Struthio camelus: one gene and its partners. The protein of the gene in region 2 interacts with the protein of the main gene of each other region in a pairwise test. Links are inferred from orthologs where the notes say so. Each region holds a gene or a part of one and is shown on either strand. Other genes may lie near its edges. The genes, in order: ANKRD24, PACSIN1, JADE2 and COBL.

Region 1 (7,371 bases), on a different chromosome or scaffold from region 2:
AGCTTGGCTGCGCAGTCTGCTGCTGCAGCTCAGCTGACAGGCGGTAGGTAACCTGCTACAGCCCAACAGCACTGTCTGCCTGTTCTGCTTGTGAGCACCCTTGGCACCTGGCTGGGTGCACTACTGAAAAGCATCACCTGAGGCTGATTTCATTTCATTACCCCTCAGATTATTGCCACAACCTCTCTTCTCTGAATTCAAGCTGGTTTACATCCCCTTCCCCCACCAATGCATTCCGGTTTCCCCGCTTGTATCAGTGGGCAGACAGCTTCCAAGCTGGACATTTCTTGGAAGCAGAGCATTCAGGCCCCAGCATCAAGAGAAAATTAGCTGGCCCATTTTGTTAGGAGCATTGGCAAGAGTTTGCACATGCGACCACCCTAACTGGGCAGCAAGAACAGCCACACAACAGTGGCTGGGGCTGGGGCAGGCACAGGGGACCCAGAAGCAAGGCGGGAGAAGCAGTACCGTGGGAATCCCGAACGGACGTGAAGGCCGTCCACGTTCTGGCTGACCAGGAACTTGAGGATGCCGACTCTCTGCAGCCCCAGCAGTGCCATGTGAGTCTTGGAGGGCCTGGCATTCTCAAAGGTGGTGTCAAATTTTGGGGAGAGCCCCTTCTCTTCCATAGTCCAGACACCATTTGGCCCCCTGTGGCAGAGCAGACAGAAAAGTGATGATCACAGACTCTAAGATGCTTGTGAATGCATCACGAGCACTATCAACAGAGTAAGAGCAAGACTCTGCTAAATGAAGGTCACCCGTTACCAGGGATCTCTGACCTTGATGAAGGAGAACACACATGGGGCTTCTGCAGGTACAGCTTAATGTCAAGCAGCGACTTGCAAGAGGGAAAGGGTAGTGTCTGCTGAGTGGTGGCTGGTTACAGGACCAGGTCTTGCTGCAGGCAGGAAGGGGCGGCAGGGAGCACAGTCCAGAGCTTTGCGAGAAGTGCAATGGCCCACGAGGAGGTGCTACTCCTTCCACCCCTCACTTGCTGTCCTGCTCCCTTACCCACCATCCTTACCTGAAGTCGGGAATCCCTGAGGCAGTACTGATTCCAGCCCCTGTGTGAAACACCACGTTCGAGGAACTCCTTATCAAATCTGCCAGTTCACGCACTTTCCTCTCCAGCTCCTCCGGAGGATCAAAAATCTGAGAAGAAACAAACCACAGCAGGAACTGAGAGACCCAGTGGTGGGTGCTACGCACCCCCGCAGCAGGCACACACACCCAGTAAACTGTTCTTTCTTATCCACAATGAAAACTGCAGGTGGGAAATAAGATTTCTCATTGCTTAACGATAAAAGCATCTAACTGGAGAGAAACAGCATTGTACAAACTGTCCCCATGTAGTATAGGGGCTTAAAAAAGCCTTATGCAGAAGAGGGTATTTAATGCTCTTGCCAACGGGTACCTGATACCCACAGAAGCATCTTGGATCAAGGGCACAGTGGAGCAGCAGGAGGAAGGGAGCGACCCCGGGGCCAGCCCAGGTGCACTGATCCCCGGCACCGTTCCCCAGCAGAGCCGCGGGCTCGACAGGGCTCGGGGCCAGCGAGCCACAGCGGAAGAAGAGGGTGGCCATGGAGATGGAAGAGGCAGAGCCACTGTAGCTGGATGGGTTTGCGGGACCATCCTGCCTTCTGGCACGGGCGACCGTTACGGACGCAGAGTTGCATTTCTGCGGGCTGCTCCTCCAGCCTGGTCCCCTGAGGACACGGGCTGAGGAGGACGTCCCGTCCCCGCGCTCCAAGGCGGGCTCAGGACGCCCCTGCGCGTCCCCGTCCCCCTAGACCTCTTCTAAGCTTCTCGAGCGCTGCTGTGCCCTGTTGGGCCGCGAGGTTGGGATCCCCCCCCCCCCAGCTATGCCTGGGACAGGCCCCACAGCGGGCGAGGGCCTGCCCTGAAAAAGGGGGGACCCTGAGGGGGCACTGGGGTCTCTGCTGGGAGGGGGGGGGTCACGGATTGGGCTCGGGGGAGGCACAAGGGCAGCACTATGGCACTGGGAGAGTCTCTGCTGGGGGTGGGGGGCAACACAAATGGGGTCCGGTTGAGGGGGAACATGGGGCAGGGGGGGTGCAATCCCTGCTAAGGGACACATAGGCTTGGGGATCCCTGCTGGGGGGGCAAAAAGAGGGGCGCGGGGCTGGGCTTGGGGGGGGGGTACAAAGGGGAGCCACAGGGCTGGGCCGGGGGGCAAAAGGGGGTCCGTGGGGCTGGGCCTGGAGGGCGGGGGGAGAGCCATAGGGCTGGAAGACCATGGAGCTGGGGGGGGGGGAGCCACGGAGGGGGCCCGTGGGGCTGGGGGGACGGACACGGCTGGGCCGGGGCCGCCGCTGGGGGGCACCGGGGGGAGCGTGGAGGCCCCACCCGGGAGACAGGGGGGGACAAGGGGTGGGGTGGGCCGGGGCCGGGCCAGGCAGGCCCCGCGGCGCCTCGCTCACCTCGGGGAGGCCGCACTTGCCCTTGTCCGAGTACGGCGAGAGCCCGGCCGCGTAGTTCACCGCCATGGCCCGGCCCGGCCGCGCCGCCCGCCGCGCACCAATAAAGTTTTCATTGTTGTCAATGCCCGCGGAAGGGCGGAAGCGCGCAATGAAGCCGCGGGGCGCGGGGCGCATGCGCAAGGCAGGGCCGGTGGGGAGGGAAGGCGAGGGCGGCGCCGCCATATTGGTGCCTGGCAGGGAAAGCACCTGCCCTTCCCTTGCCCTTCCTCTGCTCCAGCCTAATTCCTGCCCCCCCCCCCAAAACCCGGCCCGGACACAGGCGCTGGGCGGGGGGTGCCAGGCAGGGACGAGGCCTGGGCCCAGCCCTGCCCCACACCGCCCCCAACCCTTGGGGAGGGATGTGGGGTCCCAGCCCTGCAGGGCTCCATCCACCCCCCCCAGGCCCCCTCTGCCTCGGGTCACGCCGCCACCGCCTTCCCCGGGGCGTTTCGGGGGCTGCCCCACATCACCCCACGGGTGGCAAAAGGGGGCACCCGCTGCCGCCCTCAGGGAGGCCCCGAACGGGCTCGGGGGGCCCCGCTCGGCGCGGGCAGGTGTAACCGGAGCCGCCGTAACCCAACTCCCCCGCGGCGCCTGGGTCCCCCCCGGCGCCCGCCGGCCGGCCACGAAGCGCCGGGGTGGCTCAGCGGCGGGGCGGCCGCGGGGTGAGGAAGGGTCTGCGGGCGCCGGTGGGAGACGGTGGGGGGGGGCGGCCGGCGGGACCCCACGCGGGCCTGGTTTTGGGGGGCGGCTGCTGGGGGGGGGAGCAGGGCGTCGAGGAGGCGCACGCACGTGTCCCCCCCCCCCCCCCGCCACCACCTCTGGGGTGACGGGGACCCTCACGGCGCCGCCGTCTCCCTCGTCTAGGCACGGCGGGCCGGAGGGTCGAGCCGCCATGAAGAGCCTCAAGGCCAAGTTCAAGAAGTCGGACGTGAGTGCGGTCCGTGGGGGGGGGGGGGGGGGAAGGGGGTCCCCGACGGAGGGGGGAAACGCCGTCGGGCGAGAGGGTCCCGCCTGCCGGCTCTGGGGTGCCCGGGAGGGCTGCCAGGTTTCCGGAGCTGGCCATCGGGTTCCCACCTCGGTGACGGCACTCGTCGATACTCATCAATAATTCAGCGCCGCGCGGCGGTCCGCCGCCGGGCCGGGGAGCGGGGAGGGCAGCTGCCACCCTGCCGGGGGTGACGGTGCCGTCCCCGGTGCCCGCGGAGGTGCTGGGGGGGGGGGGGACGTGGCCCTGCTCGAGCTCGTTTTGGTGCGGGTTAAACGCCGAAGCGTGGCCCCCTCCCTGGGGTCTGGGGAGCTGCCTGGCCCGGGGATGCCCCGTGCCTCGGTTTCCCCACCTGCCCGGCTCCTCTGGGCGCTGCGGCAGCGGGGAGGGCTGAACGGGCCGCTGCTGCCCCCCTAAACTGCCCCTATCCGGGGGGGGGCCCTTCTCCGCAGCTCTGCCCTTCCCCGGCCGGGTTTCCATCTTCCTTCCCCAACGGTTGGGGCCACGGCCGCAGCCTGTCCCAGCGCGGCCCCCGCTTCGGCTGGGACCTGCGTTTCCACCCCAGTTTGGGGGGGGGGCTGTGCCCCTCCTTCCAGGGCAGGGTCTGGGTGCCAGGAGGATGCTCCCGTCCTTGATTTGGGGGTGCCCCACTGCCTCGCCCTGGGGGAGCTGACCTCCCCCCCCCCACCCCAGTCCCTCCCAGTCTAACTGGGACCAGCCCTGGACGCTCGGTCCTGCTGTGGTCCTCGCTCCATCCGCAGGGATGCGGGGATGCCTCGAGCTCCCGGTGATGAGGAGGGAGGGAAGGAAGGAGGGACGGAGGGATGGAGGGAGGCGGGTCCCAGCTCCCACTGCGGCAGGACCCGGCCCCCCGCCCGGGCGGCGGTGCTGGAGCCAGCTGGGGTCCGCGGCCGGCCCGGCTGGCCCTCGCCCAGGCGGGGGGCGAGGGATGCATGGCCGCCCGCCGCCTCCTCCTCGACACCATGAAGCAGATCTGCCTCTGTGCCGCTGCCTCCTTTGCGGTACGTCCCTGCCCCCCCCCGTCCCCGGTCCCCTTCGGTCCCCGTCCTCTGGGGATGGCTGTGTCACCCCCCCACCTCACCTGCCCCAGGCCCCTTCTATCCCCGGGACTTGGCTGCGTCCTCTCCGAGCTGCTTTGTCCTTGCACGGCAAGGGTTGGAGGGGGGGGGGATTGCACTCCCAGTTTGCCCAGTAACCCCAGGAGACTGCTTTATTCCCCGCCCTGGGACACGGTCCTCCAGCTCCGCAGGGTCAGGGGAGTTGTGGGGTTATTGGGGAGGGGGCTGTGGCACAAGCCCCGTGCCAGGCACTGGGCACCGGGCTGGCGATGGGCAGGATGCGAGCAGCTCCGAAAGGTGACATCCATTTCCTGTCTCCCCCGGCCGCAGCCTAGCTTTGGTTTGCGGCCGCAGGCTGCGGTGTGAACCCGGGGCTTCCCGGGCTCGTCCCAGCCCCGTCCCGTCCTGCTGCAGGTCGCTCCGCCGGCCCCCATCCGGACCCGATCCTGGGCAGGAGCAGGGGGTGTCCTCGTGTCCCACGCGCCAACGGGGGCTGGAGGTGTCCCCGGGGACCCGTTTTCACTGCCCTGCCCTGGCTCGGCCCCATCCCTGGCGGGCAGCAAAAAGGGGTGGCCGTGGGGCCGGGGCGAGGTGCGTGGAGGTTGGGGAGAGCCTGGGCAAGGTGGGGGCTCAAGCAGCTGTGGCTGCTGGCTGTGTTTAGCAGCGGGGTCGGCGGAGCAGCAGCAGCAAGCCCTGGGGCAGGGTGATGGGGCAGCAGCAGGTCATTCCTGAATCCCGGCCCGATCTGGGCACAGTGAAACTGGGACAGCTCTGTAAATCCCTGGGCTGAAAACTTGGGGACCCCCATGCCAGGCAGCTAAACCCTCCTTATAGAGGGGCCAGATGGCACCTGGCAAAGGAGTTGGCCCGGAGATGGCCACCCTAGGGCATGGGATGGGATAGCAGGGATGGGGATGAGGACAGGGACACAAGCCCAGCCCAGCACCCTGCCTGTCTCCAGGGTCCAAACACCCATCACGGCCCCGTCTCGGTTTCATTGCAGAGCCAGGACTGGACCAAGAACGATGAGAAGCTCCTGCAAGCTGTGGATTACAACGATGCCGGGAGGGTGACGTCGCTCCTCGTCCGCAAGGGGCTGGTCGCCACCAAGTTGGACTTGGAGGGCAAATCCGCGTGAGTACTGACCTGTATCCTCCTGTCCCTGTGTCCGCCCTGGCGCAGGCTGCTGGGCTCTCCTGGTCCCCTGAGCCACCCAGCGCTGCTCCTCGGGGCTTGCCGGGGGTTGGGGACATGGGGCTGATGGCCCTGGGCCTTGCTGCAGGTTCCACCTGGCCGCCATGCGGGGGAACGTGGACTGCCTCGAAGCCATGCTGGCCCACGGCGTGGATGCCATGACCAAGGACAGCTCAGGTGAGGGGCATGGCCACCGCACCCAGCTTCCCTCGTCCCCCCTCTTTTCCTCTCCGGGTAATGCTGTGGACCGCCTTGGGCCCCTGACACTCCCCAGTCCTTCCTACCCGACCGGCAGGTGCCAAGGCTGTGGAGACAGAGGTGATGGCCACATGGGCTGTAAATCAATGCTCAAGGAGGGTCCTAGCCGCCAACAGGCACCTGAACCCTGGCCCATGGTGTTCCCAGGGGTGCCTCGTCCCTGCTCAGCCCCAGCCCTGCAGGGTGCTGGGCTTTCCTGGCGCCCTGAGCCACCTCATGATGTTCCCCAGAGCTCCCGGGGCAGAGGGTAGGGGATGACCGCCTGTGTGCTTGTCTGTCTGTCCCCCAACCCATCCGTCTGCCACCGCCCTGTCCGTCTGACCGTAACCTGTCTGTGTCCCTCTCCCCAGGTTACACTGCCCTGCACTTGGCATCCAAGCATGGCCACCCGCAATGTGTCAGCAAGCTGCTGCAGGTAATGGGGCCTGGGTGCACGGCGCCGCGAGGGAGGCAGGGTGCCATGCCCTGTGCCATGCCCGACTCGGCCCCTTGCTCCAAGGGCACAGCCAGGCCCAACCTGCCTCGTCCTCCCTGCATCCCTGGGATGGCCACGCTCCCATCCCTCTGCAGTGGCGTTGGTCGGCATGGTGGTGCCTGGCTCTGGCCAGCACCATGTGGTTTGGGGCTGGTGATGATGCTCTTCCACCACCAAGGAGCTCAAAGTGCCCCACAGTCCTGGCCCCTCAGGCAATCCACCCCATTCTCCTGTAACCCAGGCCCTCTCCCTCAGGCCTCCTGCCCCGTGGACGTGCCTGATGGCAGCGGCCGGACGGCACTGCACCACGCAGGTGAGTGGGGACGGTGCCACCCCATCCTGCTCGCATCCCTGCAGGAGTCAATACTCAGCCTCTGTCCTTCTCCCCAGCTGTCAGCGGCTGCATCTCGTGCTCGGAGATCCTCTGCGATTTCAAGGCTCCATTGAACATCAAGGACAAGGTGAGATCCCTCTGCTCAGCACCTGCTGTTGTATGGAGGTCAAGTCCTCCGGCAGTGATTAAACTCTACTGGGCCAGGTGATGCTGCTGCGTAGAGCAGCCAAGGGCCAGGCTGAGGCTGCCTCTGAAATGTGGCCACTTCTGGGGTGGGACACAGCAGCTAACTGCTGGCAGCACCTGGGGTCCCTGGGGTGCTGCTGTGAAAACACACTGCCCCTGCCCAGGATGGCTTCACGCCGCTGATCCTTGCTGCCAAGATGAGCCACTCAGAGCTGTGCCGGTACCTGCTGCACCGTGGAGCGGCCGTGAACAGCCGGGACCTGCAAGGGAGGTGAGTCCCCCCCGAAGGGGACGGGGGGCCGACGGAGCGGACCGGACCCCTCACCTCTCCTCTCGTGGCTCTCCAGAACAGCCTTGATGCTGGCCTGCGA
Region 2 (7,371 bases):
CCCGCAGCGCCGCCCCGGGATGGCGCCGAACCGAGGCCGATGCGAGCCCGGAGCGCGGCCTCACCGTGGCGGCGGCGGCGGGCCCGAGAGCGGAAAGGAGGGCGCATGCGCAGAGCGCCGGCTTCCGGCCTCCGAAAGGCCCCCCCGGCGCGGCGGGTGGCCGCGGCGGTGCCTGAGGGAGGCGCGCCGAGGCCCCCGCCGCGCCGGGCAGCGGGGTGTCCGCGGCGGTGCCTGTTTGGAAACGCGCCCCCTTCCCGCGGGGCCGGTTTGGCCGCGGAGAGCCGCCTGCTCCCCCGGGCCCTCCCCGCCACGCTGCCCCACGCGATCCCCCCGCGTTCCCCAGCCCTTCCTCCCTTCGCCCCTGACGCCCAGAGGGCAGCACGGCGCGAGGCCTAGCCCGCGTGGAGCGAACCGCACTCCTCTTTTGGGGGCCAAACCGGCGTTTTGTGCATTTGGGGCGGGGGGGGGGCAGAGCTGGGGGCGCGTTGGCACAGGAGGGCGTTTCTGATGTTCCCCGCCTGCCCCGGCTTCGCCAGCCGCCGTCCCGTCCCGATAACGGGTGCGCCGATTTCCTCCACGTGAAACGAGGAGAGAGGAGCGCGGCGGCGGCGGCGGCGGCGAAGCCCTGGGCTCGGCCTGCGCTTGTCGCCCCCGGGCAGCGGAGCGGCCGCCTGCCTCCAGGCCTCAGGTCGCCGCGACAGAGAAGGGGCGGAGGTGGCTGGCAGGAAGGCAGCGCGTTATCCCAGCTCGTTATCCCGGCCCGTTATCCCGTTATTGCTCTAGGAAGCAGAGCCAGGCACCGGCAGAGGGAGGGGACGTCCGTCCCCTCTGCGCTTCGCAGGGCCCCGCTCGGCCCCGCACGCTGGGCAGCAGAGGCCTGGGGCGCTCAGTGCATGGAGCGGGCAAGGCCACGGGTGCCCCGGCTGCCCTCAGGTCTGCCGGCTGGAGAAACCCGGGGCGCGCGTCCCCGCGCAGGCTGGCCACCCGGGGCCGGCAGCAGCGCTAGAGGGAGCTGCTGTTATCCGGATGACGAGCCGTGCCCGGCGCGCCAGGGCCGGACGGACGCAGGCTCGCGGGCGATGCCAGCGTGGGCGAGCCGCCCCCGCTCCCCCCTCCTCCAAATCTGCGCCAAACGCCCCAAATCCTGATCGCCGTCTCTCCACCGCCGCCTTACCCGGGGATCCCCCACAGCCCGCTGGCGCGAGGGGGCAGCCGGGGCGGTCAGGGGCTTGCCCCCTTTTTCGTCTTCCCAAATCTCCCTCCTCAAAAACCTGCCCTGGATATAGGGCTGCGGGAAGTTTTCTGATCCCCCTCCGCGGGGTGCCCGAGCGAAGAGCCTCCCGGCACAGAAACAGCTCTTCCCCAGCAAAACCAGGCAGGGCTTCATTTAACGGAGCCTTTAAATATTTCATCGAGCAAGTAAAGAAATACAGCCCGTGCCTTGGGGGGGGGCTGCTGCCCCCAGGTCCTCGCACCGGCCAGCTGCTGCCTCGCCAGACGGTGCACGCCGGCGCGCTGCCTCGCGGCGAGGACCTTCCCGCCGAGCAGCTCCGGCCCGGAAAGGGCCTTGGAGACCAGCTGCGTCGCGGCTCGCTCGCCTTCCCCCGGCAGCAGCCCGTGCGTGGGAAATGCCATCACGAGGGTCCCTTTCCCAGCGGCTGCTAGCGATGCCGCCCGCAGGGCCTGGCGCTGCTCTCCCAGCCCTGGCAACCCCGGCCCCGGAAAGCAACAAGCACGAAGCTTCACGTCCCAGCGGCTGCTGGACCCCGTAAAATGCAGCCCGTGGGTCTCCGCAGAGCGTTTTGACATCTCAAGAGTTTGGGAAAACCCTCAAATCACCGTTTTTAAATCAGGTCAGGGAGGAACGACGGTGCGTGGCAGCTCCGCATGCTGCTACGTGTTTCTGCTGCGGCATCCGAAAAGAAGCGGCACCTTTTCCTTCTTCAGCTTGGCCCACGGGGACCCCCGCGGTCACACGTGTCTGGGCCTGATGGGATTTGCAGTGCCGACTCCTTTTCTCACGGTGGAGGCAGATTGCTGGGATCATCCTGCACACCCTGGCGGGGATTAGCGTCCTGGGGGCGCGTTGCCAGCCCCGCTCCGGCCAGGGCGCTGGCCGCGGGTCCCTGCCCCGCCGCCCCTGCCCCGCACGCAGACATCCCTATCGCGTCCGCCCGGCGCGGCGCCGGGGTCTCCAGACGCTCTCGGCGTTGGCTCGGCTGCTTTTGCCATCGGTCCTGGGAGCGAAACGGCAGCAGGAACAAGGGCAGCGCTGGGACGGGGAAGCCGCGAGGGGAAGCCAGCAAGAATAGGTTTTAGCAGGGAAGGCAGCGCCGCAGCGAATCGCAAACCACCCCTCAGCGTAGGCGAGATGCTGTCCGCGCGAGCATCCCCAAGCCCTCTGCAGGTGTTCCTGAGCACAGACAGCCGACGGAGCGGAGCGGAGCGTTGCCTCTTTTCACAGGGAGGAGAGAGCAAGGCAGGCAAGGGGAGCACCCGATGCGCACACCTCCTGGGGAATCTCCAAGCTCTTGCTTGTCTGCTCTGACTGCAGGACAGCCACTGCCGTCCCGGCAAGCCCGGGATGGTGCCTAGCACTGCATCACAGCATCGCTGCGGGAAGGCCTGCGGTGGCCCTGCGCTTGCAATAAGCCCTGCTGTTTCCTGCAGGTGGTGCAGGGAAGAGCCGAAGGTGAGGAGGAAGCGACACACCTGCGATGCCCTTTGGAGCCGGGCTGTAAAGCCCTGGCTGGGATCCTGGGGGCAGGATGGGTCTTGCAGGTGTGGGGAAAACGTGGGACGCACACGCAGGTCTGCCGAGGAGAGCTGCCGCTGCTCCCTGACCTGGCTCACGTGCTCGAGCAAAGGGCTTGGGGCTTGTTGAAGGCGTGCAAAGACCCTTTTGCACCCCGGATTACCCCAGCCAGGAGATCTGAGGGCAGCTGGGCCACCCGCAGCCCAGCTCGGCAACCTCTGCACCGGCACTGAGCCGTCCCTGGGACGGGGTGGAGACGCCGCATCCTCTTCTCTATCCTCTCTGGTCCTTTCGCATCTTCAGCAGGACGGGACGAGGCCCTTTCCGTGAAAGGCTCAGCCCCTGTAATTTTTTGACTGGGGCAGGAATAAGGAAAAGGTCTTTTCCTTCCCGTCCTGCACTGGTTGCAGCACAGGGCACGCTTGCCTTTTATCTTTCCATCTGCGTGTGTATGTACGTCTACCCACTCCCCGTTGTGCCGCCGGACCCCTGCCTCCCTGTCGCTTTGGGCTGACATGGAGCTGATCAGACCCCGCGGAGCAGCAGAAAGCAGCGGGGCACAGCGCTTGCCTCCCTCCCGGCTCCTGCTGCGGGCTCCCGGCACCGCTGCAAGGAGCCTGCAGAGCTCCCCACGGTGTCGGCGCGTTCACACTGCGATTCGGGCTCTGTGCGTCCGCTGGGTGCCGCGCGGCTTTTGCGACCCGCAAACGCTTGGGACAGGCTGACCCAGAAGCTGGGCAGTGCCAGACTGGCTGTTTCCTGCACCTTGCTCCAAGGAGCGCAACCTCCCTGGACTCCAACACGTGCTGGAGAGAAACCTGCTCTGCGCACCTCCGGGCTCGGGGCCCTTCTGTCGTTAGGAGGAGCTGAGAGCAGCTGGCTGCGCTTCGGAGGAAAAAAAAAAAACCTTCCTTTTTTTTTCCTTGAAGCAGGTCCGGCGAAACACAGTGCTTTCGTACCCGATGCAGGCACGGAGCCGCCGTGCACCTGCGCTCGCTGCAAGCGGCTCGTCCCTCCTAGGGCGACCTGCTGCCTTCGCCCCCGGCACTGCCCGCGCTGCCCTGTGGGCCAAGCACGGCCGCCCGCCGGGGACGGCGTCCAGGCGCCCCGGGGCGCCGCGGCGTCCTCCTCTCCCACGCCGGCGCTCCTCCTGCCTGATTCGGAGATGGAAATGCCAGAGCCGGGGCCGGGCTCCCGCGGGCGGCAGCGGGGAGAGGGCTGCTGTGCCCTGCAAACTGCCCCGGCTGGACCCCGCGGGGCTTTGCAGTGCGGGGACCCCCCAAATCAGCCCCGGGGTGCCAGGGGCTGGCTAGGAGAGCAGAGGGAGAGGAGCAGGGAAGGAGGCTGCAAATAAAAGCTTGCAAGGGGGGAAAAAAAAAAAGAGCAAGGAAATGAAGGAGAGACGAGCCGGGGGGTATAGGCAGCGGGACGCCACAGCTGCCTCCGCCTGGCCAGGCCAAGCCGGGCTCCAGGCTTATTCCTTGCTGCTTCTGCAGTAATGTTTTCACCTTGCGCTGCGAAGGAGTCATTGCGCCGAGCCGGGGCGGCGATTGGCTGGCTAAAAATGCCTCTCTAATCTCCGTGCTGATCTTTACCCCCCTCCTCCCCATCTGCTGTGACCTTCCTTCCAATGTGCAGCGCCAGCCGGAGCGAGACGGAGCCAACCGGCCTTGCCTGCCAGCTGCCCGGGCGCCCGGGCCACCCCGGTGGGCGCCCCTCGCCGCTGCCCATGGTCCCCGCAGCCTCTCCGCGCAGGTACCGGCACGCCGTCCCCGGGCGCCCGGGGGGGTCGGGGCAGGCGACGACGGGCGGCCGGGGTGCCGGCAGGCAGCGGGTGGCCCCGGGGCGGGGGGCAGGGCCCGCTGCTGGGAGCCCGCCAGCTGGCCCCCTCCGAAGCCGGGTCCCTAAAGCTTTCCGTGAACCTATGACACAGAGCTGGAAGCCGAAAACGGGGCCCGAACGGCCCGCAGATGTCGTGGCCGTCGGCGCCGAGCGAGCTGACCGCTGCGCTCGTCTCCCCGCCGCCCCGGCGGCGCCGTCTCGCCCGGCCGGCGGGCAGCGCCGCGTCCCGCGCCCGGACCCCGGCGCGGCCTTCCAAGGGCCGTGGCCCCCTTCCCAGGCGCTGCTGCGGGCCGAGCCGGCTCCTCGCGGTCCCGCGGCGGGGGCAGCGCCAGCCCTCGGCGTGCCCCGCCGTGCCTAGCCCCCGCGCCCCTCGCGCCCCCTCCCTGATCCCTCTCCGGCGTCGCCTGCCGCAGCATCCTGCCCCCCTGCCCCAAACCCCCATCCCCAGCGCCCTCTGGACACGTTGGCCAAACGCTGATCCGTCCCCCGGAGGGACCCCGGCCCCCCGGTGGGTGCCAGCCTCCGGCAGGGCCCTGGCAGCGCCCCGGCCCCGGCACGGCTCTGCCTTGGGCCAGCACCGCGGGGGCCGCCGGGGGGGAGTGGGGGGGTTCCTCGGGGTCTCCGAGAGGGGACGACCTGCGGCGGGGGCTGAGCTCCGGAGGGGCTCGGAGAGCCGAGATGAGAAGGTCTGGGGGAGCTTCACCATCCTTCCTGGCCGCTTTGCACCCGCAGGAGGGGGTGGAGGGGGTCCGTGCGCACGTGCTGCTGGGGACGCCCCGAGGGGCGCAGGGCTCGCGCCGGCCGGTTTCGGGGGGCCCCGGCGCTGCGGAGGGGCAGCCGAGCCGGAGGCTGGTGCAGCCGGGGCGCGCGGGGCCGGCAGCCTGGTGGCATCTCCGTCGGGGCTTTGCTGTCGCTTTGCACAGCCGGGAGGCAGGGGGAGGCAGCCAAAACGTCGCGGGGGCAGAGCCGGAGATGCTGCCCTAACTGCGGCCACCCCCCGGGGCGAAACGGCTCCTCTTGCCGGGCTCGTCCCCCCATTCCCACCGCAGCCGCCAGCCCCGCGGCACCACTCTTGCACCCGCCTTGGGAACGGCCAAGCAAGCGCTTTGCTAAACGGATTAGAGCCGGCGCTTCCCGCCGCCTCTCCGAGCCGCCTCGACCCTCCGCGCTACCCTCGGAGCTCGAGCGCCGGCGGCTCCGAGCGGCTGCAGGGATCCCGGCGATGCTGCTGCCGGCCTGGCCCTGCAGCCCCCGGGGGCCGTCGGTCCCGCGCCCGAGCACGAGGACGGTCCCTCTGCTGCGGAGCCCGGAGCAGGTCCTTCCCGCTCCTCCTGCCGGGGCAGCGGCGTTGCCAACAGCGCTGGCCCCGCGCGGGGAGACTTTGTCCCCTCGCCAGGCGGCCGGCCCGCCCGACGTTTGTGCGAGGCCTAGGAGCGAGCCGGGTGGCTGCTGCAGCTCTGCAGGCGCCGGGGGACAGCGAGGTGCCGCCGGGGCCCGGCCGGCCGGGGCGATACCTCGGCGCCTCTCCGCCCTGCGCCGCGAGCTGCTTTCCCAGGGGAAAATGGAGCCTTTGTGGCGCGGCCCCTGCCCCTTCCCCGGAAGGGCTCCGACGATACCCCCGGGGCCGGCGGTTAGCGGACAAAAAGGGGATTGTTTGGGTGGGAGCCGGGTTTGTGGCGGCACCTGCGCCGCGCCGGCGGGGGGGGCCCTGCACAATGGCTCGCTTTCTGCAGGACTGCGCTCGCCCGCCGCTGCCGCCGCTAATTAGAGATGCAAAATAGCCCCGCGCCTGGCTTCCCACGGCCGGCGGGGGCGAAGCTCGGCAGCGGGAAGGCTGGGGGCCGGCCGGGGACCCCTCTCGGCCCCTCCGGCCGCCGCGACGCTTCTGCTGCGCTCCTCTGGGAGGGAAGCGCCTTGCCGCGCTGCTGGCAGAAGCGTCATCGTAGACCGCCGAGCGGCCCCCTAAATCAGGCCTCGTTTCCTGCCGGCGTCGGTTGTTGCTTCCCACGCGGGCGCTGATTTTGCAGGAGGGGAAATAGTAACCCGTGGGATAGTGAAAGCCGGGGGAAAAGCGTGTCGGGGAAGCGGTTTTGGGGGAGAAGCGGCTGGCTCTCGTCCCGTGAGCCCAGCGCCAGCTCGGCAGCCGGGCAGACGCGGCTCCCCAGCTGCGAGCGAGCCTGCCAGGCAAAGAGATGTGGCTCAGCTCGTCCGAGCCCCGATGCTCAGAGCGGTCGCCCCTCCGCGTCCTGATGCCCCCGCGCAGCAGGCGGCGGTGCAGAGAGCGGCGGCTGAGACCTGCCAGCTCGCGCCACCCAAGGACTGCAGAGCTCCCCGAGGCGTTTGTCAGGGCGCCGCTGCCCAATTAGTCTCCCGTCTCCGCTTTCTTGCCGGAGAGTCTAACGGCCTGAAGCACCAAAAGGCGAAAATCACCCGGCGTTTTGCAGGAATTGTAGCCGAGGTGATTTTGCAACGCCGAAGCGCTGCAGCCAACCGAGAGAGGCAGCCGCAAGGCAGGGGGCTGCCCTCGGCCCGCCGGGACGTCCCCGCTCCGGCCCTGTGCCGGCTCGGCGGCCTGCGGCGCGCTGCCCGCCGCTCGGGGCATCAGCAGACGAATCGCCCGTCGGGGCGTCAAATCTTCTTCCCAAAAAGTCTCTGCTCCGCCTTTGCCAGGTCTGGTAGGTGGCTCCTTCTGCCAAACGTGCCGGGTGGCAAAACCAACCCCAGGGCACAGCGGCTGCAAGGGGGGCGAGGAGCCCGATTCAGCGGGCTGGATT
Region 3 (7,985 bases), on a different chromosome or scaffold from region 2:
TGAAATTTAAAACAAAACGAGCCCCGGTTTACTTCCGGTGCTTTGCATTTTTTCCAAACCTAGAAGGGGATTTTTTTCTTTATTACTCATATTTATGACTTTACTTTCCCTTTCTGACTTGTTTAGCTTTTACCCTCTCGTCGCCCACTTTCTCCTCAACCAGCCGGGACCTGCGTGAGGCAGGACCAGGGAAGCCGGGCCCTCGGGGACAGCCCTGCCTCCTGCCAGCCTGGGCGCAGGAGGCGTCACCTGCGCCGTCCCGCAGCTCCGCCAGCAGCCGCAGCTGCGCCCGAAAGCAACGGCAGCTATGGGCCCTCGGCAGGGAATACCTAGGGAAACCCAGATCGGTCCCTATTGAAGTTGGAGGCTCACGTCTCCCCCAACTTGCAGAACGTGCTGTCGAACGCTGCCAGCAGCCACCGATACGCTAATGTCATCTCCCTGCCCAGAAGCCTTCAGGGTTCGCATACTTGCCCCTCCTTTGCTCCAAGCCTTGATTTTTAGGAATCAGCCTCAAGTTTTCCTAGGAAAAACAAACCTAACCTTTGATGTAACCTTTCTACAAGCTATTTCTGCTTCCATCTCAAGCTTATTTTAACCTCAGCAGCCAATAAACGCTTAAAGGTCAACCACCATTCCCGAGAGCGAGGCTCCTCACCCCAGGCAGAAAGCCCGAGATCACTGATTTTTCCCCAAGTAAAATCCCCCCCTTTCTCACAAGAAGCCTCACGGCGAGGGTCGGGGTTCAAAACTAACTAACCGAGGGAGGGCTGCGGGGGATGTGCACGGCCAGGGGCCGCTTTCCCTTCCCAGCCCGAAGGCTGCCAGCATCTGCAGCCCGGGAGACCTTGCCCCGAGCAGCACCTGAGCTGGGCAAAACTCAGCCTTTCTGCCCTTGCAGCATCCGCCAGCTCGCACGTCGTTGCCGCCTCCTGGGCGGCGCGGAGCGGCGCGGCGCGGCCGGGCGGGGGCAGCTCTCCGCCGCGCTGCGCAGCGCAGCGCAGCGCGGCGCCGGCTCGGCCCGGCCCGCGCGGGGGCGCAGCGCCAGGGGGGCGGCCGGGCCCGCGCGGCTCTGCGCGGCTCTGCGCGGCGCGGAGGCAGAGCCGCTCCCGGCAGGACGCCCCCGGCAGGGCCGCGGTATTTTTAGGGCCGGCCGAGGTAGGAGGGGAGGCGGCCTGCGCGGGGCTGCGCGGCCGCGTAGCGCGGAAGCTCCGGGGAGGGGGTGGGGGGGAAGGAGGCGGCGGGGCGAGCAGCGAGCAGAAGGCGCGGAGCGGAGGCCGCAGGGCAGCGGCGCGCAGCCGCCACGCCCCCGCCGCCGCCCGGCCCCGCGCACCGGCCCGCGGCCGCGCAGCGCCCCGCCGCCCCGGCCCCGCCGCCGCGCAGCGCCCGCCCCGCTCCCAAGCGCGCTGCGCAAGCCCCTCAAGGCGCCCGCTGCCGCGCATCTTCCGCCGGCACCTCGCCGAAAGGGCCCGCGCGTTGCGCGCCCCCCGCCCGCGGGCCGGGCACGGCGGCCGGCGCGGGGCAGCCTCTGCCGCAGTCATTAATTTGGGAAATATGTATTTAAAAAAACCCAACAACAACAGCAACAACAACAAAAACCCAAACCCGCCCAGCCAGGCTGCCCGGCGACCCTTTAAAAGTTCTTGTTTACATTCCCGCTGCCTCCCTCGTACACTTTAAAACAAGAGTGACCAACATGCGCAACCCGCCGCTGGCAAACGCCGCACATCCCCCCGCCTCGCAGCCGGCCCCGGCGAGGACGGGGCCGGGAGGAAAAAAAAAAAAAATCCAATAAATAAATAAATAAATAAATAAATAAATAAAACCCAGGGGGAGCTGCAAAATAACGATCCGCTGCAAAAAAAAAAAAAAAAAAATCAACCGATTCCCCCCCCCCAACCTTGTCCCCCCCCTCCCCCCTCCCCGAAGCCCCGCTCATCCTTTACCTTTGCCAGGAGCGTGTCCTCAAAAGAGTTGCGACTGTCTCTGGGGTGACGGGAGGGGAGGACGGCGGAGGGGGCGGGGATGCTCCGCAGCCTCCCCGGGGCTGAGCGCCCCTGGCCCGGCTCAATCCGGTGTCATTGCCGGGGCCCGGCGGCCCGGGGAGGAGGGGGGTGTAGCGGGGGGGGGGTGTAAGGGGAGGGGGGCCCTTCCTTTTCAGGAGCGGCCACAAAGTAACTCCATGGATGCAAAGCCCCCGGCGCTCGCTTCCAGCCGAGATGGCCGCTCCGGGCACAATCCGGCGAGCCCTGCCTGCGCCTTTCTGTTTCTTTTTCAGCGCGCACTTCCTCGGGAGCTCCTCGCAACAACGCCGAGCCGCGCCGCGCCGCGCCGCGCCGCTTGGCCGGCGAGGGCAGGCGGAGAGGCGACTTTTTGGAGCGGTTACGGATAATGGTGGTATCGCTCCGTTTCTTCCCCCCCCCCCCCAGCCACCCACCCACCCCTTCCCCGCCGCCGCCGCGCCTCCCAAATCTCCCTTCAGCGCCTCGCTTTGCGGCTCGCCGCCTCCCGCGGGCGCGCAGCGGCCGGGCCAGGTGCGGCGCGCGCGGGCCCCATCGCGGCCGGGCGCGCTCAGCGCCCCCCGCGCCGCCGCCCCACGGCGCGGCCCGCGCCCCGCGCCGCTCCGCGGGCGCCGCGCAGCGAGCCCTGCGCACGCACGCGCGCACACACACACACACACACACACACACACACACTCGCACTTTACCTCCTCTCCCCCCTCCGCTTCACTCCCCCTCTCTCCTCCGAGCTACGCACAGGCGTAGACTGGGCTGCTGCTGCAACCTTAAAAAAAAAAAAAAGAAAAAAAGAAAAAAAAAGAATAAGCTTATACTTAAAAAAAAAAAAAACACTCACTCACTCACACACACACACACACACACACACACAACCTTTTGGCGCCATATTAATGACGTACTTAAAATTTGCCATTTCTCCTGCGTCAAAAAGACGTTTCTTGCCCATCGCGGAGCGGCGCGGCGGGCGGGCCGGGGGGCGGCGGCGCCGCCCCCCCCCCCCGGCGGCAAACTTGCGCGGGCGCGGGCCGGGCGGCGTGGGAACAGCCGCCGGGGCGCCCGCGCAGCTTCCGCGCCGCTCCGCGCTGTGGCGCGCGCCTCCCCGCGGCCCGGCCGCCTCCCTCCCTGCCCGGCGCTCGGCGGAGCGTCCGCGCAGCCCCCCGCCCGCCGCGGCGGAGCCGGCTGCGCGGGCGGCGGCGGCGGCGCAGCCCCTGCCCCGGGGGCGGCTGCAGGCGGCGGCGGCGGCAGGAGCAGCGCGGCCGCCCCGAGCGGAGCCTTTGGGCACATGAAACGTAACGCCCGGGCGGACGGGGCTGCGCCTTGCCCAGGCCCCGCCGCGCAGCGCCTTGCACCAGTTGCTTTGCACGATTTTAACCCCCTGCTGCCGAATATTAAAATTCAGTTTAGAGACAGTCTGTCAGTCGCAGCCTGTTATGATCTCTGGGATTTGGTTAGCTCCGAAACTCACTGATTGTGAAAAACACTGGGAATGACGAAAGGGACAGCAAGGACCACCACCGATAACTAAGGTAGTCCAGTATTCCCCAGTGTACACCTCCGTTTCGGCTCCCTACCTAATTTGCCAAACTTTAATGAATTAGGCTAAAACTTGCTGTTTTGGGAGCCTGTGCTGCACATTTTCTGAAAACTCTACTCAAAATCCTTTGGCTCTTCCAAGAACGAAGACATAAGAAGGGGGGGGAAATTTGCTTTGCTCATTCTTGGGGTTTCTATTTATGTATTTATTTATTTTTAGGACTGTGTAGGTGGAAATAGGGTCTTGAAACTTGCCCTGAGGCAGCCTTTAGATAAACCCACCCGAGTTAGACGTCTTACTAGTCCTCGAAAAGCAGCAGCTCCCAGCGCGGGGTAAAAACATGCCCGATTCCAGCTGCTGATTCCTTGGCAAATCTGTTCCCTGCGGACGCGGCCCGCCGCTGCCGAAAGCCGAGGGTGCTCGGGACCTCGTGCGGGCGCAGCTCTCGGCGGTGCCAGGCCAGGCAGGAGCTGAAGAAAGAGGGCGAGTTTGGGAAGAGGGATTTGGGAGCAGTTCCCATTTAGAAATAAGATGTTGTCATCTTCTCCGGGGAGGCTCTTCTCTGGAGAGCGGCCCCAGAGAAGAATAAGAAACTTTAGCTGTTAGTTTGGGAAAAAAAAAAAAGAAAGAAAGAAAGAAAGCAAAGAAAAAAAGCTCTGCTGATAGCACAGGAATGGTGGGACTCCCAAGCGCTGAGCCCACGTGCTATTTCTGTCCCCTGCTAGTGCAGCGCCGCGGCGGGGGGCACCGCCAGCAGCCCTGGCCCCGCCGCTCGGCACGCTGCGGTTTTCCCTGCCCAGCCCGGTAGACCTCCGCACGCACACTGCGCTACCGCGTTAAGCAGTCAGAACTTAGGAAACCTCCAAGTGGAGGCTTTCTGTCTAAATTTATTTAGACCTACGATACATACGTTTTCTAATGCAGTTCTTCATTTCGCCGTCACGATCTCTTTCTCCCTCGGCACCTGCATGTGCTGGACCTGCTGCGCGGGCAAGCCAAAAAGGAAACACGTTTCTGCCGGATCCCTGTCTCACCTGCGGAGCCAAACACTGTCCATGGAGTGAAGCAAGGGCTGCGGGACGCGAACGGTGTCTCGCAGGGAAGACAGGATGAAACTGCCCTGGAGAACTGGATTCTCTCCTTGCCTTTGCCACAGACTTCCCTAACAGAGTCATTAAACGCAACTTTTTGGACACTGATGACTGTATTTCCCGCGTTGTGGGTGTTTAGCTGGAGAGCTTTAGCCCAATTTGCTGACATCCATCTTACAACTACGGCTGGAAGCAGCGGGTGCTGCGCTTGCATGTGCAAAGTGCTGTATCATGATAAATGCTCTGAAAAAGCAGACGTTACGCTTCCCGGACAGAGCACCCGAAATTAGCCGGAACTTCTGACCTTAATCCGTCTGCGTGTCACCCTGACCCAGAACGAGCGTTTTGGGAGGATTAATTAAGGTGCCCAAGCGCGGATGCAGCGTCGTGGAAAGTACCGTAGAAAAACTCGCGAGGAAAGTAGTAACTGTGTCTTCAGAGGAAGCTGCCACCTTCTCTGCTGTGGTGCTCTACCGCTCCGCAGCCTTACGAGTCTCCTGCCCCTTCTGCGGGACTTCTGGACGGTACCTGTGAAGGGGCCGCAGCACGTCCAGACCCAGGCAGGTCAGCTCCTCGGTGCAGAGCGGCCGCGCACGATACCTCCGCAGCATCCTAGGCACCAACTCACTGCGCTTTTGCTATCGAGAACACGAGCGCCTAGTTCTGATTTGGAAATTGCCCCCACAAGGGTCAGAGCTGTATTTTCTGTGGCTGTGAATGTCAAAAGTAGCCAGGGAGCGTGAATGATGTGCTCAACTAAGGCCTAGGATCGCATGTAGGACCACAGGAACAAAACAGCATTGATGAGCACCTCTCTGGCCATCTCATGGCTGCGCGAGGTAGAGGTATAGAAGAAAAATACTACCTGATCATGCAGTTAAAATCTTATTCTGCTTCCACAAAAGGGCATTTATGAAGCTGCACTGGCAATCACAATTCCGCCTTTTCTTAATTGTAGGTACTTTCCTTTGCCGCACTGATCATGCGTTTAACAGATTTTTGGCTACCATATATGCACATTTATACAAAATATGTATACAAACGCAAATATGTAACGCATACCTACAATACACTTGATGGATGGTTCTACAGAAGGGTCATGTATATTAAATATACGCTATTCAGTTTACATAGTAAGACATTTATGTAACAATTATGAGGAGCTCTGACAGGGTGTTGTCAGTTGGCATTTGCTAAGAGAAGAAATAAATCGAATAGTGAAAACAAAAAAGCATTTTGGAAGAAATAGCGCTGCACAAATCCTCTAAAAGGACAGAATTGTCTACACAACAAAGGCTCAGCTGATTGATGCTAAAATAAGCAGTTATGCAACAAGTAAGAAATATGATCTCCGGGGAAGAAACCAGCAACATTTTCCTTTCATCTTCATTCACCAGTGCTTATTTTTGCATACCTAGAAGAATAAAACAGGTAACCTTTGGATGATGAGCACATAATTAGAATTAACAGCTGTTTTTACATGATGGGCTTAGCCTTTATGAGCTTTGTATGAGCTCCAGCGTTAAATTCAGGCACTGAAAAGGAGTCCCCCAAAGTGCCGTGAGACTGCTGCTTATACTGCTCGTGTTTCATGCCTGCTAATACACTTTGGAAGAAACGCAGCGCTAGTATAACTAGATGTAAATACATTGATTTTTACGGGGGAATTGGCTCGCCAAATATCAATGATTGCAAAATTGCTAACGCAGCCTCGAGGATGAGTGTACAGAACAGTGCATCTCACAACACTTAGAGTTAATAAACCTTGTCAACAAGCCTTGACTACGGACAAAAAAATCTCAATGTCGACCGATCTCACAGGAGAGGAAAAGAAGAAAACCCAGTCGCCCGGTTGTCATCAGATTTGATTAGCGTGGTATCGATTAGCGCCAGGCGCAAGAATGGGACGGATCCAAGGGAGCGCGAGCGATCCCCAAATATAATGAAAATTCAATGTCCTTTCAAGTCAAGCGCTTTAGAAACGATCCATTTAGTAACGTTAGCCAGCCGGAAGCTGGGAGGACGTTTACTCCAAGTGAACGATCCTGGAGCGCGGCGCACCCCCTTTCCGCTGGGATTTCTCCGTGCTCCCGGAGCGGGGAGCCTGGGCGCCGGCGGAGCGGCGACCCTCTGATGGGGAATTTCAGAAGCACCATGCAACCTGAAAATTTGCCTGCTGATTTACGGCCTTCAGGACCCTCTTCTGAGGCCTCTGGTAGATGGAAGAAGTCAAAGGCATCTCATGGCTACTTTAATTAAAACCAAGGACCAGGTCAGCGCTCAGCCAATCCAGGAGGGCAGCGCAAAGATGCTGGAAATCTTTTTGCCTCCGTATCCCAGATAGGGCGGTCCAATATTCAGCGGTAATCGTGAAATTTGACTTCTATTGAGACAGGTGTTAATTTGGAGAATAGTAAGCAGATGCAGTAGCAGGAAAAAAGGACAAGCTCTGTTCTAAATTATAATAATAATCATTCCCATCTCCTGGAATGAATGACTACATCACTACACAAACGAATCCTGTTTGTTTCTCAGGCGTTCTGCACAGCCCTTTTCCCCTCTGAAGCGAGGGAAAAATACGATACTTACAGGAGAAGATTTGATTTGGCAGATCAGTGGCTGGTGAGATTTTGTTGGAAATCTCAATTACCTTCCGTAGCTAGAAATTTGGTATCAAAATAAACTGCAAACAAACAAACAAACAAAAAATAAGCTGTTGGCGTTACAAATGGCCATCCCTCGACAGGCACCTGCACAGTTCTCTCTGCGCAGCAGCTGCTGTCATATTTTTCCGAGAAATGGCAATCCCTCTCTCTCCGACGGGGTTGCCCTGAGGAGCGCAGCCCCGAGCGGTTCGGCGTGGAGGCGCCCACCGGCCGGCTCGGGCTCCTGCCGGGTTTCAAGACTCCTCCTGTCGGTTTGCTTCTCCGTTTTCTGCACGTTCAAGTCGATCACGGAGCGCACCGGGTGCAGCGCGCATCCCCCCCGTTGACCTAGCTGTGGCTTTCGAAGGGCCCTCAGGAGTAAAACGGATCTGGGGAAATAGGAAGCGCGAGTGGCGAGCGGCGCTGCTGCGACGGGAGCCCTGGTCTCGCTGCCCGTGCCCTGGCCGCAGCCCGCGGGCACCGCTGCAGGTCCCGGCTTGCCCGGTTCGATCCCCCTCTTCCCCTCCCGTAGACACGTCACGCTTTCCAAATGAAATATAGCTGGCGGCAGGGCGGGTAACGCGGCGCCGTGGGCTGTCTCGAGCTTCAGCGTCGGGAAATTTGACTTTTACGGGCGAATCCCGTGCGGCGAGCTGCGCTAGGAGCAGCTGCGACGCCTGAAAGCAAGCGTTGCGAC
Region 4 (7,612 bases), on a different chromosome or scaffold from region 2:
AAAAAAAAAAAAAACAGTGTATTTCTCTCTTCTAGCACCTGTTGCACAATTACAGAAGAAGAAATTCTCACTTCTGGTGCTGCTGCTGCTTTTCTTAACTTCACCGTCATCATCTAAAATTAATGTTAGATGCTCCATAAAGCTTTACAAAACTCATGCCTAGCAATCAGTAATAACAACATTATCGGTAGCCAAATCTAAACTATTTTTTAAATTAAGAAATGGGAAAAACCCTGTAGCACCAAGACAAATTACATTTTTTCCTTTGCTATTTAAACAAAAAACCCCAGTATCCTGCTTTTAAATGTGCAGTTGTCAAGCAGCTGTGCCATGAAATACACGTTGTCAGATTATCTGCATAAGACACACAGCAGAACTGTTCTACTCCGTACCAAATGACACATCAAATTTGTTCACTGTTTAACAAAGGAAACCTGTAACAGAGCTATTAATGATTTACATAGAGACAAAACAGCTCTGCCTAAATTTTGTAAAAAATGTTTAAAGCCACAGTCATTTTAACCTCTTCCTTTCATAACTGCAAGCTAACCCAATCAATAAGCTAGAAACTCATACAGCATTTCTTCTCCCATACAAGGGATATACTTGTGCCAGAGCCCCTTAAATTAAACGCTCCCCTGACATGCTCCATAGGTGCAGTTCACTTTTGGATTCACAAGGGAACTAACAGGAATAGGCAAAGCTGTCTCCCTGCCACATTGTACTGGTCCTAGTGGATTTCTTCACTGAATGAGTAAAACCTAGCTAGGAACCAAATATCCACCCCGTTTCCAGTGCTAAGGCTAGTAATTTAGGGAAGTTAGAACTGTTCCAGCAAAAACCATCACCAACAGCATGGCCACAGCCAGACTGAGAGCTCTGAAATTCCAAGAAAAAGCAACAGTATTTCAGCTCTTAACTGAATTAAGATGAAACATACAGTCATTCCTTGTTAATGTATACGACAGCTTTGCAGTCAGCTTCAGCAGGCGCAGATTAGCACCCATGTTCTGTACTATACGTGATCCCCGGCACCTCTAACCTTAAGACCAAGTTCTCCTCCTTGTGCCAGGTCAGAAACAAAGTGACTGAACCTCATGCTGCTGCTCTAATTTCTCTTCATTTACATAGTAGAGAGCCTGGCCATGCAATCCACTTTAAACTGATAAAACTGCCTAAACTGACATCGTGGACCTTTGGTTAATAAAGCCCCCGGAACTTCAGTGAATCTCTCAGAATTGTACCAGTTTTCATTTTGGAAAAACATTAATAATATGGACTCTTGTTCAAAATTTAAAACTCTGTAATGAATCTTTTGACATCTAGCAATCAAGACAGGTTTTTAAATCAACATTACATTTGAGAAGTATAGTTATACCTCAAAACACATGTAAATTTGCATCCCTCATCTCTTCTTCATCAGAATTCTGGAGAACAGCTACGTTAAGAAATCAAATCTTTTTAAGTACATACATTGCTTCTCTTTAAAAGGTTAATTTAAAAAGTCATAATCGAATAGACTGATTATCAGAGATTAACCATCTTACAACAAAGCCCCAAGCTATATTATGCTCTGCAAGTCAAAGAAATAACTGTTCACGTGGAGTTTTTACTCATACAGCACTAGCAGTGACATTTCCCTTCATCCATCACTCCCTGTTCTGACCAACCTTCCAGTTACACATTGGAAGACCTCCCACGAAACACAGAAATGAAGGAAATTAAACAGAGCAAGTCTACACAGTTTATCAACACGGACTTTAAAACTTTCCCATGTAGTCGGCAATGAATTTATGACATAAAAACTATAACTAAAAGCAAAGCAGAAAAGCTTCTGAACCAACTACGTTCTTTCCCAATACGTGCAGACAGTGTGAAGTAGAGCAGTAAATTGCGACGAGTAGACACTGCAACTCTTAAGACTTGCCCAGCTTCTACTCGGACAAAAGAGACCACTTAGGACTTGACGCGTGTGCAGCTCTGGGTGCTTAATTAGTGGCCTACCTAATTTGCTGCTTTACAGTCCGCATTTATTTATTCTCTTTAAGAACCCCAAAGCCACATATGGTTAATACTCGGGTTGACTACGCCGGGTCCGTTATAGCTGTTAAATAGGTGCAGGACACCAAAAGGCACTAGAAACTCTGACCAGCAGCCGACCTGCGTGCCCACGGCCACAGCAAGCGTGCAGGGGCGGCGGAGGGGTAGTTTAGCGCTCGGCAGGAATCTCCAGATGTCAGAGGAGCCTGCCCAGCACCGCAGTTTACTAAGTTTTAACAAAATTTTGGCATTATTGACAAGCCTTGTCAGATTTTTTTTTTTTTAATTTCTTTCCCCCCTCCTTTACCACGACTGGGCAATGGGGGTAAGGAACTGAGGGCTGAATAAAAACCTTCCAAAGGCTTTTGGCAGCTGCCCGTGAGCACACAGACGGGAGGGGGCACACGTACGAGGAGCCGCGGCCGCCGGCGGCCCCAGCGCCGCTCGGCGCTGCGCAGCCGCGGGGAGCCACCGCCCCCGCGAAACAGAAAAAAAACAACAACAACAACAACAACCCAAACCCCGCACTTTTCCAAGCGGTTTCCAAGCTGTGCCCTTCTCCCCGCCCGGCGCACCCTGCCCTGGCCGCGCCGCCGCCCCGCTCCGCCGGCAGCAGCGCCCTCGCGGCCCGCCGGGCACCGCACCGCACCGCAGCCCTGCGCAGCGCAGCGCGGTCCGGACGCCTTACCCGCTGGGGGGCTTGCCGGCCCCCGGGTGCACCAGCGTCTCCATGGGCGGCCGCCTGCCGCCGCGCACGGTCCCGCTGGGCGAGCGGGGCCAAGGTCGGAGGGAGATGGGGGGGGCGGGGAATTAAAAAAAAAAAAAAAGGGGGAAAAAAGAAGAAAATGATTAAGAAGCGGCTTCTTTCCCTCTCTCCGGTCGCACCTCGCTTGTCCTCCGGCCGCGCCGCCTCCCGCAGGGCGGCAAGGCAGCAGCGGGCGGCAGCGCGGCGCTCCGCGCACACCGCCACCGCCGCCGGGCGAGGACGGACCCGCCGCCAAACCCGGGCCGGGCCGGACCCTCCTACCTGGGGGAGGGCGCGGGGAGGGGCGGCGCGGCGCGGCGCGGCGGTGCCCCCGCGCAGCCCCCGCGCAGGCGGAGGTGGCCGTGGCCACCTCTGCGGCAGCCGCCGCCCTGCCCTGCCCGAAGCAGCCTTTCCACCAGCTCCGCAGGAAGGGCGACGCCGCCGGCTCCCACAGAAAGCGCCTTGCTTTTATTTTTGTATAAAATACTTTATATGCATCGCAATATTGCATATTTTTCGCTTTTTCTTGGTGGCAGCGGAAACAGCTCATTTAAAATTAGTAGACGGCTTCAGTCAGGAGAGCCGCTGGAAGGTCCTTGGTGAGGAATCGGACATGGCACGGACTGGCCCCGAGATGCGCCCACTGAGTGGGCTGAGCCGGGGCACCTGGTGCGGAGCCGCTGCTTGGTGCCCGGCTGCCCAGCACACCCTTCGTGGCGATGCCGGTGGCACTTAAGCATCGTAATAGGCTATTTCAGGAATACTTACCTCGTGCCCTCTTACCCTAGGAGAGCAACCATTGCGTGGAAGGAGAAGCCTGGCTTAGGTGACTGCGGTGCATGCCCGCTCTCTGGGGTGATCCGTTTTGGGCCTTTCTGGTCTCTCCCGGGTGTTTCAGGAGTTTCTCTGCCCCAAGCCTCCCCTTCACTTCCCAGCCGTGGTGGGAGGGCAGGAAAGAGCTGGGACAGGCCACCAGCAAAAGCAGGACGCAGGAGATGAGAACAAGCAGTCTGAGCAGACCGACAGTGAGAAACTCCAGTGAACGGCTGTGAGCAGCAAAGGGGAGCGATTCCTGACAAACCTTTTCCCCCAGCTGCGCCAGTGACAGTCCCACAGGCTATCCTGTCAATCAATGGTCACCCCTTTCCCCAAGCTCTTCCCTCCCTTCAGCTCGCATCTGCGCCACTTCTGCCCATCCGACAGTGCCTCGCTCAGCCGAGCGTCCTGCATGAATGCAGGCAACTTCTCTGGCCCAAAAAGCGAGAGAAAGTTTCTTCTTCCTCAGGGAGCAAGGCTTGGTAAACCTATGTCAGCAGCTGCATGGAAACGATGGCATTGCTATCTGCAAGAAAATGCTGCCCCAGGCAGATCATAAATCCTTGGAAACATTTAGACACTGGATTAATGTGCTAATAATAGAAAGGAAAAAAACGTTCATTTTTTCTGTATTGCATGAATGGAAGATTTCAGTAAACCCCCACCTTCTTCTGTCTTGTACCAAGGCTTCTGCATTCTAATCACAGTATCTGTTTTTGTGCATCTATCTCTGTGTATAACAAAACGATTTATTGTAATATAGTCACCCTTAATTTCATCTCCTCTCACTTTGATGATTTTAGATCTCTCCCCTTAATTCCTGGCTCTTCTTCCCAGCAGAAGGTTAAGAAGCTGTTTTCTGTTCCCCCTTCTCCGTACCTGTCCTGTCAACGTGTATGCAGAGGGCCCAATGGTAAGAGAGGCAGCTGACTCCCCCAGCCATAGTTAGAGGAACAGAAACACAAATTTGCAAAAATGAAACATCATTGATCCTTAATTTCCCTGTTTAAGTTGGTTGAAGTGACCAATATACATTGATTCAGTCACCATGCTTTGATAGTTACCCCGGTCATCTGAGCTATAGTAATGAACTACATGCATGTCCTTAATTTGCCTCATTATGAAAAGAAATAGGCTACTTTACATGGGTATTTTGCAGGTGGAGTGGATTCAGAGAATGCACGCTGTCAGTCACAAGGAATTGTTACGGTGAGTCGTTATCTGTTAAACTGTGGTAACTGGCTTTCATAGCTCTGTTCATCATTTGCTTACCTTTACATCTCCCTTTTCTCCTCCTAAACCTAAATGTACTCTTTCCTATCCTAGAATATATGCTAAGGCTGCATGGGCACAAAACGCATACAGGAGCCCCAGGCCTTCCCATGTCTACATCATACCTACGCTGCTCCATTTATTTCAAAAACCTGAAATAACTTCCTCTGTCTCAAGAGTGATTTCTGTTACACTGTGATACACCTGCATGCCAGTATTTCCTCACTCCAAAGGTGTGTTGGGCCTTCCTGCCACCCACTTCTCTCTACTCCCATCTGCGCCGCTCAGACCCACCCTGCTGCCCTGTAAGGGACTCTCACCGCTACTGATCTCTTTTGCTCTTACTTCATGGAGCAACCACCTCACTATCTTCCCTGCACATCTGTAGCTCTGCTGATGTTCCAGTTTTCCTCACCCTCTCCTATTTCACATCAGTGAACACATTTTCTGTTTGATACCATCTTCTTTCTGTAGGCATATAAAGGCTGTCACAACAAGGCGCGAACCAGTAAACGATGGTATCAGCTTCTTATGTTCACTTCATTTTGTACAGCACAGCAAAAGAGTGAAAACCTATTAATCACTGAAATCATCGTCTTAATACCTCTCTAGAGGGCTAGGAAGAGCAGCACAGGTTGTCCGTAGCCAAAATCCTGCAGTCGTGGTTAGCCAGCTGAGGGTCCAAGCGGAGTACGTAGAGCCGCTCTTTGCAGTACGACCTGGGTATTTGCCTTTTGCCAGGCAACTTGGTACCTGGCCCAATTCTCAAAAGGAGCCAAGGGAGCGATTCTACTGTGCACTGTAATTTCCACAAGCGGGAGGCTGTGCTAATTTTTTAGGCATTGGGCATTAGCCCTGAGAGGGGCTGTACAAGTATTTGCAAATCTCATAAAACGTCTACGAGATTGAGTATATGCAATCCCAGCCCGGACCGGCTTTTTAACCTTCTCCTGTCCATACAGTTTCATGACTAATCATCTCCATTTAGATGACGTCCTCAATATATTTCCTAAGACTGTTAAGGCATTTTGATGATAACATCTCTGCTATGAAATACCTATGAAATACCTTAGCCTTGCTATGAAATACCTTACAAAATGATACTTTATTAAACAGCAATGCAACTTCATGTTTCCACTCTTATCCAGTCTTCAAAACATGATTCCTATTTTTCTTGACCTTCACTGCTAATTATATTACGGAGTAAAAGCTTTAAGACTTCATTCTTTTTCAGATAAAACTGGCCTGCCATGTTTAAGGAATTTTAGTTTACAGTATAAACCTAACTGAATATGTAAGGAATCTAGTAAGACAAGTATAATAGGAATGAATTTTTTTTTTCTAATGTAGCAAAAAGAGGTTGACGTTAGGTCAGGATTAGCTAATATACACCAGTTATCCAAGACTTTTTCTCGAATCTAGCACAGTTTATATCTTTTGCTACAACTTAGCTGCTTGAGGATCATCCTAGAATTTGAAGCCAGGTTTTAGCCTAAGAATAAGAATAAGAAAAGATTGTGAATAGAAGTTAGCTAATGTGGGCAATTTTAGTTAATAGCAAATACACATTTTTGCCACCTAAACTCAACTCTTTTTTCCACTCCAAGCAATCTGAAAGTTGCAGTTTAAGCCTTATATAAGAGTACTCTCTTATTTGCTATACAACTGCAGAATTCCTGACTATGTAACAACTGGAGCTGTGTAGCCTCAAGCTCATGAAATTCCTTTATTTTTCTATCTGCAGGAAAAATGGAAGGGAAATTAAACTTCCTGGGCTTCTCAGACCCTCGAGTCCCAGAACCACCCTTCTCCAACAAGCTGTTTGGGGATTTAGCCCTATAGGTCCAATTGGTTTTATTGGGAACTTAAAATAGCCACGAGCAAATTACATTGATTTTACAGAAGCCTGTCAAAACCCAAATAAAACGGACACAAAATTTTTTGAACAAATATTAAGTCATCGCTAGTCTATACGATACTAGTGTGACATTATCGAAAACCGAGAGGCTGAATTTGCTTTAGAAAGACACAGTCATTTAATGCCTAGAGGCACTCCAGGGGGAACTGGGATATGCAAATTGGCCTTGGCTCTGTCCATAGTCATGCAGCAAATCACTGACAAGTGTCTGGTACATCTTTTGTTTCTCTTACTTGTCTAGCGCCGTGCCTAGGAGCCTCATTTATGATTCAATACCAAAGTGTACCACATTCAGGAGAGAACAAAAACTAGTTCCTGCTCTGAGAATCCAAGGAACAGCAGTCTTATTTCTCTATATGGTTTTGGAGTTTTAGTCTAACAAGTCTACGATGTAATTGGGTCTCCCAAGGAAGAGAGGAAGAACGAATAAAGGTAGTAAATCATATGACGACACGTCAAAGAAGCCATCTGAACAAACGCAGGGATATGGACATAGGTTTTATATTTTATATTATGTAGCTACAGCCAGGATCATTTGTATTACTTCTGAGTTATCAGATAATCACCTACTGTGTATGTAGAAATACTCAAGTTTGCCCTTTGTCTTTAGTTATCTCTAGACCTATTCTGTCCGGAAAGGTAGGTCCTTTCAGAGAACCTTCTTCTTTTATCTCCTGAAACTTAACTGAAGTTGGTCAAGAGTTTGGAGGGCATTAAACACCTGGAAGAAGGAACTGGGAGTGTGCACAATTGCTTGCTTGATGCAAAAGGCTGGAGAGCCCTTCCCAGCCTTTGCTTGGAAAAAGCTGTTGAGGAAACCT

Evidence for each region.
Region 1: the proteins of PACSIN1 (region 2) and ANKRD24 interact in a two-hybrid assay, tested with the Homo sapiens proteins (2 studies listed by BioGRID and IntAct). The link is inferred for Struthio camelus from reciprocal best matches to the Homo sapiens genes PACSIN1 and ANKRD24.
Region 3: the proteins of PACSIN1 (region 2) and JADE2 interact in a two-hybrid assay, tested with the Homo sapiens proteins (2 studies listed by BioGRID and IntAct). The link is inferred for Struthio camelus from reciprocal best matches to the Homo sapiens genes PACSIN1 and JADE2.
Region 4: the proteins of PACSIN1 (region 2) and COBL interact in binary tests that used the Homo sapiens proteins (3 or more experiments, as listed by UniProt). The link is inferred for Struthio camelus from reciprocal best matches to the Homo sapiens genes PACSIN1 and COBL.

What each region holds. Positions count from the first base shown.
Region 1 is NC_090967.1:4,375,341-4,382,711, forward strand, and holds the start of ANKRD24 (ankyrin repeat domain-containing protein 24), read left to right. Parts: upstream 1-4,368; 5' UTR 4,369-4,427; coding exon 4,428-4,496; intron 4,497-5,556; coding exon 5,557-5,687; intron 5,688-5,835; coding exon 5,836-5,924; intron 5,925-6,355; coding exon 6,356-6,420; intron 6,421-6,735; coding exon 6,736-6,793; intron 6,794-6,870; coding exon 6,871-6,941; intron 6,942-7,164; coding exon 7,165-7,271; intron 7,272-7,347; coding exon 7,348-7,371. Other genes in the region: SIRT6 (NAD-dependent protein deacylase sirtuin-6), read right to left, coding at 469-651, 1,028-1,155, 2,448-2,513. UniProt on the Homo sapiens protein: Component of the stereocilia rootlet in hair cells of inner ear.
Region 2 is NC_090965.1:5,558,972-5,566,342, reverse strand, and holds the start of PACSIN1 (protein kinase C and casein kinase substrate in neurons protein 1), read left to right. Parts: upstream 1-4,364; 5' UTR 4,365-4,510; intron 4,511-7,371. UniProt on the Homo sapiens protein: Plays a role in the reorganization of the microtubule cytoskeleton via its interaction with MAPT; this decreases microtubule stability and inhibits MAPT-induced microtubule polymerization.
Region 3 is NC_090954.1:4,001,362-4,009,346, reverse strand, and holds the start of JADE2 (E3 ubiquitin-protein ligase Jade-2), read right to left. Parts: upstream 3,009-7,985; 5' UTR 2,918-3,008; intron 2,785-2,917; 5' UTR 2,708-2,784; intron 2,458-2,707; exon of another isoform or gene 1,947-2,457; intron 1-1,946. UniProt on the Homo sapiens protein: Scaffold subunit of some HBO1 complexes, which have a histone H4 acetyltransferase activity. Acts as an E3 ubiquitin-protein ligase mediating the ubiquitination and subsequent proteasomal degradation of target protein histone demethylase KDM1A.
Region 4 is NC_090943.1:65,991,861-65,999,472, forward strand, and holds the start of COBL (protein cordon-bleu), read right to left. Parts: upstream 3,015-7,612; 5' UTR 2,773-3,014; coding exon 2,729-2,772; intron 1-2,728.